Drosophila melanogaster: one gene and its partner. The protein of the gene in region 2 purifies or fractionates together with the protein of the main gene of each other region. This does not show direct contact. Each region holds a gene or a part of one and is shown on either strand. Other genes may lie near its edges.

Region 1 (6,309 bases), on a different chromosome or scaffold from region 2:
ACAAGCTGGACAGCTTCCCTGGCGGAGTTCCCAACACGCTGAGCTACACCGGAGAACAGTGGGATGCCCCCAATGTGTGGGCACCGATGCAGTACATCCTGGTCGAGGGCCTAAACAACCTGAACACTCCCGAGGCCAAGAATATGTCACTGAAGTGGGCCACCAGGTGGGTGAAGACAAACTTTGCGGCGTTTAGCAAGGACAGGCACATGTACGAGAAGGTGAGTGTAGAGTTTACTTTGATCATATTAATCATAGTAATAATGATTGACTAAATCCCAATAGTACAACGCCGATGAGTTCGGAGTTGGAGGCGGCGGTGGCGAGTACGAGGTACAGACTGGATTCGGTTGGTCCAACGGTGTGATCATCGAGTGGCTGAGCAAGCACGGGCGCGACATTTCCATTGGATCCGGTTGTGGCTGCCTAGCAGGTGAAAAGCGGCAGTAGAAAGAATCTGTAGCCAGGCCAGAACGCAATCCATCAGACATCATTGTCAGCATCATCACAGGCTCGAAGCCAAAGCTTATTCAAAAAATTGTATTTAGATATTTGTATATTATTAAGGCTCCAATCAGAAGCGCTCATCAACTGCTCATCCTTAGGCTAAGAAAATGCTGTCTCTCTCGCTCTGCGCAATCTTTATACCTTTAAAAGCCGCTGTCTATAACCAATATCTGTACCGCGAACCATCGACATCTCGAGCCAAGCACCACGAACCACAGCACCACAGTTACAGCACCGCCAGGAATCAAGATCTGAAGTCCGCCATCCGTCGAGCATCTGTGTACTGTCTGTTGTCCATGTAGTAAACCACGTCCAGTCCACGTTTGCACACTCGTGTGACTTGTCCAAATTCAAGAAATAAGAACGCAAAGAACGCTATCTATCAAGTTGAGGATTCACGAGTAAGTGTCCAATTGGATCATTCTATGTGGTTGATTTGTGTTTGTGAATGTCAAGGCAATGTTTAGTGTAACCACCACCAAGCACCAGATCCAGAGCACACTACCCCATAACACCTAAAACAGACTGATCCATGGTATATGTACCCTTATAGACTAAATGGCGGCTATAGAAAGCTAACCACATATTCAATCCTGGCTTGACTTGCATGCATAAAAACGAGCTTCCAGGAAACTGCTCAAATAACCCTAACTAACCCTTCTAAAAGTGTACATATGAAATGAAATTTGGGGCAGCAGTTTCCTACGCCTTTGATTTACACACTGCCATCAATTCTTACTGATCTGTGTCTTCTACTCTTCCAATCCAGGTAATCGTATGATGGGCATCGTGGGCGTGGCAGCTGTCACTATAGTTGCTCTGATAGCAGGTCGTGTTCTATGGTGAGGTAAGCGAAATCGAATTGAAATCTAGCTATCTCCCGGCGACGGGCTAATTGGGTAATCATTTTTCTATCTCTTCCGCAGACAATGTGTGCCAAAACAAGACGTAATTGCTACTCAAGTAGTGTGATTCCCCCCTCCGTGTTTGTGCGTGTGTTGTGAAGTCTGTAGTTGCTAACGTTTTTCGTTGAGTGCGGAGATTGCAGTATTAGTTTATCATTATTTGGTAGTTGAAGTGAGAGTTGTATATACTGAATTTATATGGGCATGCCCGAAATTGTTATTACGTTTTAATATTTAGCAAATACCTATACCAATCCTAGCTCCTCGCAACCAAATGAAGACACAAATACAATTGTTAACAATAATTTACAAACTCTTTTCTTAGCATTTTTAAATAAACAAGAACACAAACTTTATGTTGCATGGCTCGCCTTTGAATTAAACAACTCAATTCATTACTTTGATATCAACTCTATTGCAGGCAAAGTTGGTTCAAGTAGAGATGTGCGGCGACAAACAACAAAAATTTAATTGTTTTTAATTTGTATATTTGCTTTGAGTTAAATTCAGTTACGAAAACTTACCTACGACGAAAGCTAACATAGACAACTCATCGCTTACGTTATGTATAGGGCCAAAATAATGGAACAACAAAATCGGAAATAGACATTGGCAAATGGAAATGGGCATTGGAAAGGTTTGACCTCGGATCGTAATCGTAGTATCGGAGCACAGAAATAGAGCAATAGAGTTCAAGGAGATACCAACTAATCGTAATCGTACTTCACACATAATACACAATCACTTGGGCTTGGAGCCCAAACGCCTAGTTGGACTGCTGCTGCTGCTGCTGGCCTTGCTGCTGCTGCGGCGGCTGTCCCTGACTGAAGTAGGGTGCGGTGTTTGGCGTGAGCAGCGTGTGACAGATATCACAGACTCGGGCCACTCGCTTCCGTGGTCCAGATGGCACCGTTTTCGTTAGACACTTATCGCAGTAGATGTGGCCGCAGTGCCGGCAATGGATCTTGCGCACCATGACCGTGAAGTAGGCATTGCACGTGGGACAGTTGTTCACATCGTCATCGTCCTGCCAACGCACCTCCGTGTCGGCATGCCGCAGCTCCTCCAGCGACATCTGTGGCACAACACAATGTAATTAATTAAGTGAATAAACCATATATTTTTATATCTCACTCACCTGAAGCGTTTGAGATAGTTTGACAAAGTCCTTTTGAACAGTCTCCATGGTGGAGAGTTCCTCCTGTAGTGTTTTTATCTTCGTCTTGTAGTCTGCATTTGTTTTGGCGTACTTTTCCTGTAATGTGATCTGGTTAGCGAAGAATCAAGTGTGACAACAAAATATGATAGCTTACATTGGCCTCTTGCAGCTCAATGATCTCCACGCGACACTCGGAGAGCTGCTTGTTCAGCTCAGCCTCTTTGCGCTCCAGTTGGGTTTTGGTAGTCTCGTACGCTTGTACCGTGACCAAGTGTTCCGTCACCCGATCCCTGAAAATTCATTTAAAACGTGGGCCAAAGTGAACACCACCATAGACAAGAGGTTGTAACTTACTGCAGTGACTTAATATCTAGTTGCATTTTGCGCTTGTAGGCCCGCCTTTCATTGTTGCTCTCCTCCAGCTGGGCCCGCAAGATCTGAATCTCATCTTCAGTGCTGGTGCACTTCTGTCGCTCGTATTCGCTGCTGACGCGTGCTTGGATTAGCTCGCTTTGCTGTCGCAGTATCAGCTCCTGGAGCTCGACGACCGTGTTGGGCAGATTGATATATTGGTTGTCGATCTCCTCGGACGTGGCCAGATAGCGACCGGACAGAAAGTCGTTGTCCGCCTGCAACGTCTCCAGTTGCTTGTTGACCCGCTCTCGGTCGTCGGAGACGCGCTGGATCTGCTTAATAACCTCGTCCTTGGTCTCGAGAAACTTTTGCTGCATGTCCAGCAGTCGCTGCTCGTTGGTTTTGGCCTGGTCACGCAGGCTTTGTACTTCGCTTTTGTGGGCCTCCCGCTTTTCTTGCCACTGGTCCTCCAGATCCTTGCGCAATGCCGCCTCCTTAACCAGTGTCTCCCGGGATTCCACCAGCTGCTTTTGCAGCAGATCCACCTGTTTCTGCTGTTTGTTTATATGGGCACCCAGCTCTTCGGTCTTCTTTTCTGCCAAGCTGCACGACTCGCAGGCGCTCTCGGCGACGTCCATGGACGTGGACTTGTGCAGGGCGGATTCATCGGACGCCGACTTGGCCTGCAGTTGCTCGTCCTGTTCGCGCAGCTTCACTTTTAGTGCCTTCATCTCCTCCTGAAGCTGCTCGACAATTGAGTGCATCATCTCCGCCTCCTCAGGAGCCTGCAATATAAGCTCAGTTAATTTGATAGTTGAAAGATTAGTCCCGAAAACATACGTATTGCTTGCCATTGCCCTTGCTCGATGCCCGGGTGTCCTCGTCCTGCTGAAAGCTGCTGTTCAGGGAGTCGGTGCCCAGTTTACGCACAGAGCCTAGTGTCTTCTTGACCTGATTGAGCACCTGCGGCGCTATACCGCCAGATGACTCGGCCTGCGGTTGTTGAGCCATCGTCTGCTGTTGAATCTGCTGGTACTTGCCCAGCTCCAGCCTGAGCCGTTCCACCTCGCCTTTGTAGTGCGCGGTCTCCTCGATAGTGTCCTGCACCAGCTGCTGCAGCGAGGAGATCTCCTCCTGCGCCTTGAGGTCCCTCAGCTGCAGCTCGTTCTGCGACTTAAGGTCCGCCACCATTAGGTGTGTCTTCAGCTCGTCCAGCTCCGCCTGCAGCTGCCGTCGCTCCTGCTGGCTCTGGCTGACCTCCGCCTCCTTCTGGATGTACAGCTCCCGCATCTTCGCCCGCTGCGTGTTGAACTCGTTCTGCATTTTGCGCATCTCGTTCTGCAGGTGACTGAGTTTGTGCTGGCTGGTCGCGTCATCCTCACCTGCCGTTGGAGTTATGGGTTAGTTATCGGCTGTTCAGGCTTCCTGTGGTGCTGCCTTACCATTGGGCAGGTCCGTGGGTTCCCTGGCCTCTGACCGGGTCTCGTTTTCTTCCATTTTCTATATTGTGTGATGGCCAATTTATTAGTTTATATGTACATATGTGAGCGCACCAATTAGAACATATACATTTGAGCGATTTTCAACACTGCTCTTGGTGTTACCATATTTGAATAATACCGATAGTTAATACTTTAGTATTGCTTGGCAGTGCCGTTAAAAAAGGTTTTCAAAATCTAACTTTATTGAGCTTGATAAACATCTTTTGGGATTAAGTTTTCTATAGAAGTATAGAAAGTTTAAAATATTTACTTACAGATACTTGGTAAAATAGTTTTAATAATTTCCCTTCGCCAATTTGCAAATGTATTCTTATTTTATGTCCTTTTAATGTGTCCTTTTTAAGAACCCGTTTTATTAAGTTAAAAGTCGGAATCCTTTAAAATCACTCCTTTGTCCTTTTATATCTTAGTCTAAAATCTAAATCTAGATATTCCTCGAATTTTTTGTTATCATCAGCCATCAGGAACTATAAATAGAAAAAGAAAACAAATGGGTAAGGAATATAAATAAACAATACCATATAATTTAAATTTGTATAATGTTTATAATTGCATCTTAATCGTTCTTAATTATTTAGGATTTTCTTAAGCATTTCCTAGAAAGTGTTTCAACATTTGTGTGTAAGCCAAATGACAACGGCAGAATATATTAGACACAATTCTATGAAAAGGTAAATGACTGCCGATCATGAATGACTAATACCGTCAGTTCTTTTAATTTTATGCAAATTATTAAGCGCCAGAAACGCGAGAAAACGCTAAGAGCTGATAAATTATGAGAGGAAAATGAATACTTCAATAATGCCTAGCTAATGAGAAAACATATTTAAATATAACAATATAGCAAACTATTTGAGATAACAAAACTACGCGTTAACCAGAACAAAACTCGATTTCAGAATTTCGGCATCGGCTGAGGAAGCCGAAAACTTGACTAATTATAAAATTATCATGGCTGTACACTACCAGAAATTGGAAAACATTTTAGTCGATAGGTAAAAAATAATTGTACGCTGTAACTAATGTTAACTTTAAACATTTGTTAACCACCTTATAGCCAATAATATTAATTAAATCATAGCATTAGGCATTACATAGACCATTTTTTTCGTCAGTGTACGCTGAGATCCGTTGGGTCTTCTAGGTCTTGGACTTGTTGGCAGGCTTGTGAGCTCATGACTTTCGATGTCGTCATAGTCGGCAGCCGGAGATTCGTGGCCGATACAAATACTACAGCATTATGCCCAGCGACAACAGCAGCGATGTTGGCCAAAATATTTGGCGTCTGTTCAGTTCGCATTGGATTCAGGAACGAGGCGGTCGGAAGCGGGAAAAAAAAGTACGCGAAGAAATAAATACGCGGCGCCTTGGAATCGCGACGGCATTTCTACTTATAAACTTAAAAATAATACAAATATATAAGTACAACCGCCGCGATATATGTATGTGAACGGAACTTGAATAATGACCATAAAGTGCCCAATGTTTTGAGTTCCTACGGATATCAATTAGAAAATTGCAAAGCGAATCCATATAGATTCCCGGATATACCAAAAAAAAAACCGACCATGTCGCAAACCCAGAGCATAACACCCATTCCCAGCACACCGCCGCCTTCACGGCGGGCAAATCGACCGCCCAGGATCAACATCCACAATCTGACCAGCGGATCGGCAATGAGCCAGGCATCGATGCCACCCAGTGCCCAGCCACCCTATACGGCCCAAACGAACTTCACGGGCAATGGAACACAGGGACCCTACTGGCCACCAATGGCCAATCCCTTCGGATACGGCAACTTTATGACCAAGGGCTACGAGGGCTTCCTCGATATCACAAAGTCGGGCTTGAGCTTCGGCGAGAAGATGACCTTCGGCATGTA
Region 2 (7,759 bases):
TGGCAATCGTAGGCATTCAAGATTCCTATTGTTTTTTCCGGTGCACTCACACTCTCTTTGGAATGTTCTCGCAGCTGGAAATAAATCGGGCTACAGCGAAAATCATTTATGTTTATACATATGTTACACAGGCAAAGGCGGCGTATCTGTGGCTCGGGGCAAGGGGGAGGGGGTCAAGTGACCGCATGTGTGTGCGGATGGGGTTTCGTTCCAGTGACGTGGCCATTGATGCTCCAAGAGCTGACGTGGACGCCTTTCAATTAAACAAATCACCTCAAATCAATTGGTCGTGGTGCCACATACAAAAGGAAGGCCCATCATTCGAGTCGGTTTATAATGCACTTTCTTAAGGTCTTAAGGGCTAGACAAGATTACAAGTTATTTGGCATGCGAAGTGGGAGATTCATAGGATCAATCTTAATCTCAGGGATTCTGGGTATCTAGACACTCTAGAACTCATCGTGGCGGGCCAAGGCCTCGCCGAAATCGGTGGCCTGGGAGCCGACGAAAACGTCGTACTTGTCTAGTATTTCCTCCTTTGTCAACTTATCATCGTGGTCCGCATCGGCCTCGAACAGCAGGTGCTTGGCCTCCGCCTCCGAATGATCGAAGTCATGGGGCGCAATCCACTGCTTCACTTCCTCCTCGTTCAAATAACCATCTTTGTCCAGGTCGCGATGTGTGGAGAACGCCTCCCTTTCGTTAGCCACCCACTCGGGCTCCTCGTCTTCCGCGCCCGTCGATCGGTACATGTCGCCAATGTACTCGTCCACCGAGATCTTGCCATCGTGGTCCTTGTCCAGATCGGTAATGGTCTCGCGCAGAACCACACCCTTCATGCTGGGATGGTCCTCGGGGTGCAGGAAGGCGGTAAACTCATCCTTGGTGAGATTGTCATCCAAGTCCTGGTCGGCCACCGACCAGCGGTACCGATCGCGTTTCAGCAGGCTCTTGTAGCTGACTCCTGTTCGAAAAAACAAATACAATTTGATTAGATTAATGTGATGTTTCCCGCCCATCAAAACAGTGATTTCCCTATCAAATTGATGCCTCTGCTTACAATGACGATTTGGGCTACATACCATTTTCCTCCTGTTCCTTCTCGTCGGGGCTCAGATCATCCATGAAGCCGTAGACAGTCTGCATGTAGGAATCCCAGCTTATGGTCTCATTGTTGTCCGGATTGTGCTGCTTCCACACGCGACCCACGTCTTCTTCGATGTAGCGCCTCTGGGTGTAGGCGATCCAGTTCTTTAGCTCCGCCAATGTGACTGACCCGTCCTTGTTCTCGTCGATTCGGTCCACAATGACGCCCAATCTCCGCCTGCTCTCCTCGGGTGTCAGGCTGTCGAACTTCTTGGACTCGTCCGGGCCCAAGAAGGCTTCGTGGTCAAACTGGGCATTGTGCTCGCCCCCGTCGAAGTGCCTGGGGTGCAGGGGGTCGTGCTCGAGCGGATTGTGGGGCAGCTCTTCCGGTATGCTGGAGGCACTTGCTCCACTTATCACCGCCGTCAGCGCAACAACAAGTAGCAGCATCTGAATTCGGGTTCTAGCCATTTCTCGTGAGCGCTCACGTCCGTTCGGTTCGGCAGGCAAACTGAGAATAAATCGTGTGTGATTGAGATATTTCGAAAACAACAATCTCTCTTGTTACTTTTCTAGTGCTGCCAGATTATTGGATAAGTGATGCCCAGTTGGCGGGACTTTTGAAAATCATGCAATTACCCCTGGGAAAGAAATTAAACTTAGTTAACCGTTTATTGTAAAAAACAATACAACTTGTGTATGTGTTAGATTGCATTTATTAAACGTCCTTTCTGTAAAGCTAGTTAAATATGGTACAAATAAATATGTGCAGAAATTTGAATTGAAGCGTTGGGCTAACTACAATATTTCACTTAAACTTATTTACATTCACACAGCTGCAGGATTCAGTGACCCAGTGAACAAACGTTTATTTGGGAGCATCCGCGCCGTCCTGTCCCAGAGAACTAAAGTCTCCCGTGTTGCACGAGATGCTGGGAATATCGAAGTTTGAGAAGCCCCGGTAGTTGGACACCTCGGGCTTCAGAGGGGATGGAAGCAGGACAGCTGTGCCGGGCACTTCGCTATCTATAAGGCTATCCGTTGTGCTATCCAGCAGACTGGTCTCCGGCAGAGGCGGCGGTGGCTTGGCAACTAGGCCCTTCTGCGCCAAGGGGTCGAATTCGTCGAGATTCAGCTTTGACTCGTCCGCAGTGCTGTTTTCCCCACTTTGATCCGACAAGTCGAAGTCGTAGTTGATATTGGTCAGGCCTCCTTGAAACTCGGAGCCCAGCATGAGTACGTCTGTGTTCGCATCGGGCACAGGCTCCTCCAAGAGCGAGACGGCATCAAACGCGGTGTAGTTAAAGATTGGAGAGGCGAAGAGGTGATCGGCTGGCTGAACGTTCTGCTGAAGTGGCGACAGACGGCCCATCGAACTCATGCTGGTATCCTTAAGGGACAATCCAGATTCTTTAGACGCCGCTGCGGGCTTTACCAACCCACCGGCTGCTGTCAGCGACTGGGAGGTCAATGAGCCGCCGTGCAGCATATTCGCTTGATAATGACCAGCCTCGCTTTCGTTGAGAAGGTGCGCCCTGGCTTGACCAATCAGAAAAGCGGGTGTTTTGATGGGCAGCAGGTTGAGTGGGGCCTTGGCAATCACGGTGTCTACTCGTTCCGTCACCTCTCTTTGGAAATCGATAAGCTCTTTTTCAAATGAAGTTATTCCAGAGCTTATCAGGGCGTTCCTTTTCTGCAGCATCTCCATTCGCTTCATGTTCTCGGATATCAGGTGAAGGCTCTCGCAGGCCAACAGGGCACTTTCCCAGGGCGTGCTGTAGGGCTGCTGTCCGGACATCAGAGCCTCGAACTCCTCGCTGCTGACGCCCAGACTCTCGCCATTCAGATTCTCTATGAAGGCGATGGCGGAGCACAGATTGGTAAAGTAGTAGCCACTCTCGCCGCTCATCAGCCGCGAAGCGTTTGTGAAGCGCGTAACGAAGTTGATGTTGCTGTGCAGTCGCACTGGATTTGCCTTAAGCACGACGAATATTAGGGCGGGTAGGAAGTCATCCGCACTGGCGGGTCCTCCAGTTGCCCGCTTCAGAAGCTCAAAGATGTGCCTACAGCAGCGCCAAGTGCACTGCAGCTTCTCCTGCGGCGAATAGTACGAATCTATGCCCACCAGCTCGGATATAGCATTGTAAACCAGATCCCTGGCCTCCGAGTTGACCTCGTCGATGCTGCAGTCCAGATGCTTGGCCGTAATCCAGCTCAGCTGGCGTATCCGCTTCTGCACCTTCACGTCACTGTCCTCATCGGTAGTGAAATAGGGACTGAAGAGAAATCTGCAAAAAAAAAAAAAGAGTTTCCCAGATAAAAATATGTACTCCTCTGATATCAACGTTCCGCTTGACTCACTTGTGGTTCTGCGTCATCACCACTTTCTCAAAGAAGTCAATGGCACTATCGCGATCCTCGTTGGTGGCTATCTCGAAGCTGGGATCGTTGTGCACAATGTCTGAGACTTTGGTGTAGGCGTTTTGAACCAAATCTGATAGTTCGTTGATGTTTTTGCCGCCATTTCCGTTCATATACTTGCGGATGTCGCTGTCCAAACGCTGGATTTCAAGCTTGAGTTTCCGCTTGCCATCGTCGGGAATGCGAAGTTGCCGCAATTGCAGTAGGAACTGGCCCTCCGTGGGATCCGGCACATGACCACGCTGTTGGGTAACTAAGGAATATCCAAGTATAAGCATTTAAAGGCAGTGTGGCTATGCAATATTACTTTTTTGGGCTCCCGCCTGCAGAGTTTTTTGCAGCACAGCGGTAAACTTTTTCTTTTGCAGGGTTCCCAAGTTGTCCTGCTCCTTGTCCGACGGCTTCCTGACCTGCTGCTCCACTTTTCCCTGGAGGTGCGCATGCTGTGGCGATCGGCGATCCAAGGTGGCGACCGAGGAAGAGGATCCAGGACCCGTCTCGCCACCCGTCTCTGTAAAGAACCACTTCATGACTCAACGCTCATCGGCTTTGGAGTTATATGCAAGCATTGTCTGGGGACCTACGCTTCAACTTACGCTTCAACTTCCGCTGCTTATCATTAAACTTTTCTCGGAAGCACATCGAGCACAATCCTTCGTTTTGGGGGGTTCCGTAAAACCCGCATCCTGAACGGCACTTGAGGTCCTGCTGGCCCAGCCGCAAAGACGGAGGTCGCGCCGCCGTTGACATCTCGGAGGTGTGGCTATAAAAATACAGCTCCCTTATCTGTGGGAGTCCCTTTGTTGCTTATTGTTTTCGTGACTGAATTGTGGAGATAAATAATTCTACTGCTGCCAGCGTTGCCAGATGGTCTTTTATCCAGTGGTGGGACATCGCTCAGAAAGTTAGAGATGAGCTGGTTCGCCGGCTTTAAGTAGCCGCCCATCGAATGGAACTAGTTCGCTTCGTACAAGGGGGATTTCCCTCTTTTGAATATAATTTTGATAAAAAAGAACGTAGTTCGCATATGACCTGTAAACCCACATACAATTAAAACACTATTCAGTTATGTTCCACTAAAATTGGATTTTAGCATATTTTATTCGTAAAGAAAATATTTAAACTGCAACTTAGGGAAATTTGCACAATTAGATCGAATACATGTAGTAAAATCGTGGTGTCCTAGGGAACATTTCAACACACATTCAATTCTTAGATGCACACAAACATTTTTAAAACCAGTTACACACGTATATCGACATAGCAAGTTGATAAAGTAGTAACATTTAGGACGGTTATACACGTAAAAAGAATGCATTTCTGGAAGGGTCGCTAATGGTAGTAGTTCACAACAGCAATTGGAAAAAGCTCAGAAAACACAGAGTTATGGCTTAGACTAGACTATAAATTTGCAAAGTTTTTTGTCCTAACTGCTCTACGCTACGTTACCGATCTTGTTCCCCAATGAAAAGTTTAAATCTGCAAACAAACCTTTGCATCGTCCAGCTCTCCTCGTAATTGACGATCCAATAATGCACTCAACTACTAACAACTCGACTAGTTCAACACTACCTCTACTTTATCTCTAGTTCTTCTAAATTTGTTCTCTCGTCTAGCAGTAAAAAGATTTGGAAAAAACCATTTTGTCTCTGTTTGTGTTTTGATTAGTCTTAAAAATTGCTAATACTATTTCGCTACTGTCATCAAAATGCAACCTTGCCTTGCCGTGCTCAACTACTATCGATAGTTTACGTATACTTAACATGATCGTTCTTGTTTTCGTTCACTTCCCATTTGCAATTCAACCGTTTCGAAAAAGTCTCGTGTATAGTTTTGAACTGGAATTTAACACTACTTATGATGTCTTTGGCTTTTGTTTTTGCTTTGTATGCGTTCAACTCTTACAGCTAACAATGTAATTATCTTTAACGCGTGTGTTTCAACATTATGCTGACTTTGGTTTTGGTTATAGGTTTTTGATTAAACATTCTTTGGTTTTTGATTTGTTCGTATCTGAGTGTATTCAATTCGCTACAAAAGAGTTGCATTTGTAAAAAATTCAAGTCTAACGATTTGCTTCAATAAATTCCTTGTTCCAATCGCTGATCAATTGGAATTATTTGGCTGATCTGATGACTGTGGTTCTTATTTTGTCTTCGAATTATGTATGAGTACCCTGTGTATTCAAAAGTTCGGCGTATAAAACAGAAAGTACAGCAAGTTAGAAATTGTAAGTTTCAAAAAGAATATGTCTTAACTTTCCATATATACAGTTATACAAACAAAACTCTTGACAAAACGAAGAAACAAAATGAAACATATGACTTTTAAACTATACAAACATGCTGTAATTAAATACTTATAAGAAAATAATCTTTTTTTTTTTTAATTTTATCAAATTGGTAGTTGAATCTTCCGACTGTGTTTAGTACTTGATTAATTCGCTAGGACTCTTCTAAAGACATTTCAGACATTTCTTCAGTGCCCTGGTTAACTGAAGTACTTCAGTCCTGCGATCAGCATAAACTTCTCAATAAACAACTCCGAGTCCAGGACAGCAATGTGCGCCGCTCGACCGATCAAAGTGTTGGCCGTGTGGGGCAGGGCATGGTGGACATCGAATCGGGCCAAAGTCAGTTCGGGCCTGGCCAAAATCGGAGCTATTATGTTGTGCACCATTTCCCTGAAAAGGAATCTTTATAGTCACGATTTTAACAAGGAGCCATTCCAATCGAACCTGTAAATGGTACCCAACGAGGAGCTATCCCTCATGGCAGCCTTGCAAAGCTCCAAGCGTGCCGAGTGCGCCGGAACATAGCGATCCTGGCTAGAACCACAGAGCAGGATGTTCTTGAAATGGTGCAGGGTGCTCCTCTGGCTCAGCCGGTACAGGAAACTGTTCCGCATATCGGTGGTATCTCGCATGCAGAGCTGCAGCAGTGATCCGGACTTCTTCCACTTCTGCATAAACCACATTCCTGCGAAAGGAGGCCCAACCCTGGGTTAATCACCACGCTTAAATGTATAAGAATGGGTATAGACTCACCCATGTTCACCAGCCCACTCGTATTATAGAGTGTTCCCAGGTGGGGTCCGGAGAGCGAGAGGAAGGTGTGCAGTCGCGGGAGCAAAGGCCTCATTTGTGGCCTAGCCAGAGCACTCCGCACAATTATCGTTCCCAGCGAATGGGCGACGAAGGAAATGCGAGCGGGATTAAGGGCGCAGCTATCGATATGGTAGAGTATCTCGGTAACCAGCCTAAATGATTTAAACAATGACATCAAATTTATATTGACTTCGAAGTGTATTTTGCTTACCGATCAGTCATGGTGTCAAAGTCCGAAAAGGTGTCTCCCTGGTTTCTCTCCGACATGAGGAACTCCAGATTGACACCGGGCAACCCCAGCTCCAGATAGGTGCGCACCAGTCGCAGATCCGCTGAGTTGCCATCCAGCCCGTGGACGCAGATGACCAGATGCATGCCGTTAGGCGAGAATGCGCGGTACTCGTCGCTGATGTAGAAGTATGGCAGTTCGGAGGCCAGCTGCACGTAGTCGGAATATATGCTGCCCTGGTACTTGATCTGCTTGCGGAACTCCTCGCGGTACTTCTCGAACTCCAGCAGGGAGATGCTGGGAGGAGCCTCCTGCACGGCGGAGGCCAATTGGCCCTTGCGCTTGTGCTTGGAGTTGGTATTGGAACCGTGGCCCTGCTTGTTCGTCCTCACCTGGCCATTGGAGTTCTCCTTGATCTCGTCCTGTTCGTGATCCAGACCATTCTCCAGAACATTACCATTAGCATTTATGGCGTGGGTCTTGCAATGGTGGTTAATCGAGTGATTAGGAAGGTTTTGGGGCCTCTTCAACTCCGCCAAGCTGTGGGACTTGAGCACAGGCTTGTTGCTGAAAATGGCCGGCGTGGAGATGGGACGCAGTGACTCGTAGATGTGATACACTGGATTATCAATGGCTCCAATGGGCTGGCGTTCCTTTAGGGGTGGTGGCAGATGGCAAGCGACAATCTTGGTCTTTCCCGTTGGGGGAAGTGCAGCAGCAGGAGGAGGAACTGGAGCTATGGGTGCTGCTGGAGCTGGCTCCGGTGGCGGATCACGGAACTCATCGGGTGGCGGCGGGGCCAGGACTAGCGCCAACTCCTGCTCTTGATCCTGGAACTGCTGGGGAGGTGGCAAGCACACTGCATCCAACGGTTGCATGTCCTTCAGACTTGTTATATCGAAATCCGACTTGGACTT

What was found. Proteins that work in one complex are often made in the same cells at the same time.
Region 1: the proteins of Rabex-5 (region 2) and Rbpn-5 purify together in Drosophila melanogaster (affinity purification with western blotting, with the first as the bait; one study listed by BioGRID). This does not show direct contact.

What each region holds. Positions count from the first base shown.
Region 1 is NT_033778.4:21,086,505-21,092,813, forward strand, and holds Rbpn-5 (Rabaptin-5), read right to left. Parts: upstream 4,501-6,309; 5' UTR 4,423-4,500; coding exon 4,368-4,422; intron 4,308-4,367; coding exon 3,766-4,307; intron 3,711-3,765; coding exon 2,926-3,710; intron 2,862-2,925; coding exon 2,726-2,861; intron 2,668-2,725; coding exon 2,551-2,667; intron 2,488-2,550; coding exon 2,179-2,487; 3' UTR 1,882-2,178; downstream 1-1,881. Other genes in the region: Treh (trehalase), read left to right, coding at 1-221, 286-450.
Region 2 is NT_037436.4:1,292,524-1,300,282, reverse strand, and holds Rabex-5 (Rabaptin-5-associated exchange factor for Rab5), read right to left. Parts: upstream 4,371-7,759; 5' UTR 4,258-4,370; coding exon 4,104-4,257; intron 4,019-4,103; coding exon 3,815-4,018; intron 3,761-3,814; coding exon 3,448-3,760; intron 3,375-3,447; coding exon 1,955-3,374; 3' UTR 1,786-1,954; downstream 1-1,785. Other genes in the region: scf (supercoiling factor), read right to left, coding at 450-964, 1,083-1,557; CG32333 (uncharacterized protein), read right to left, coding at 5,998-6,190, 6,245-6,485, 6,554-6,765, 6,825-7,759.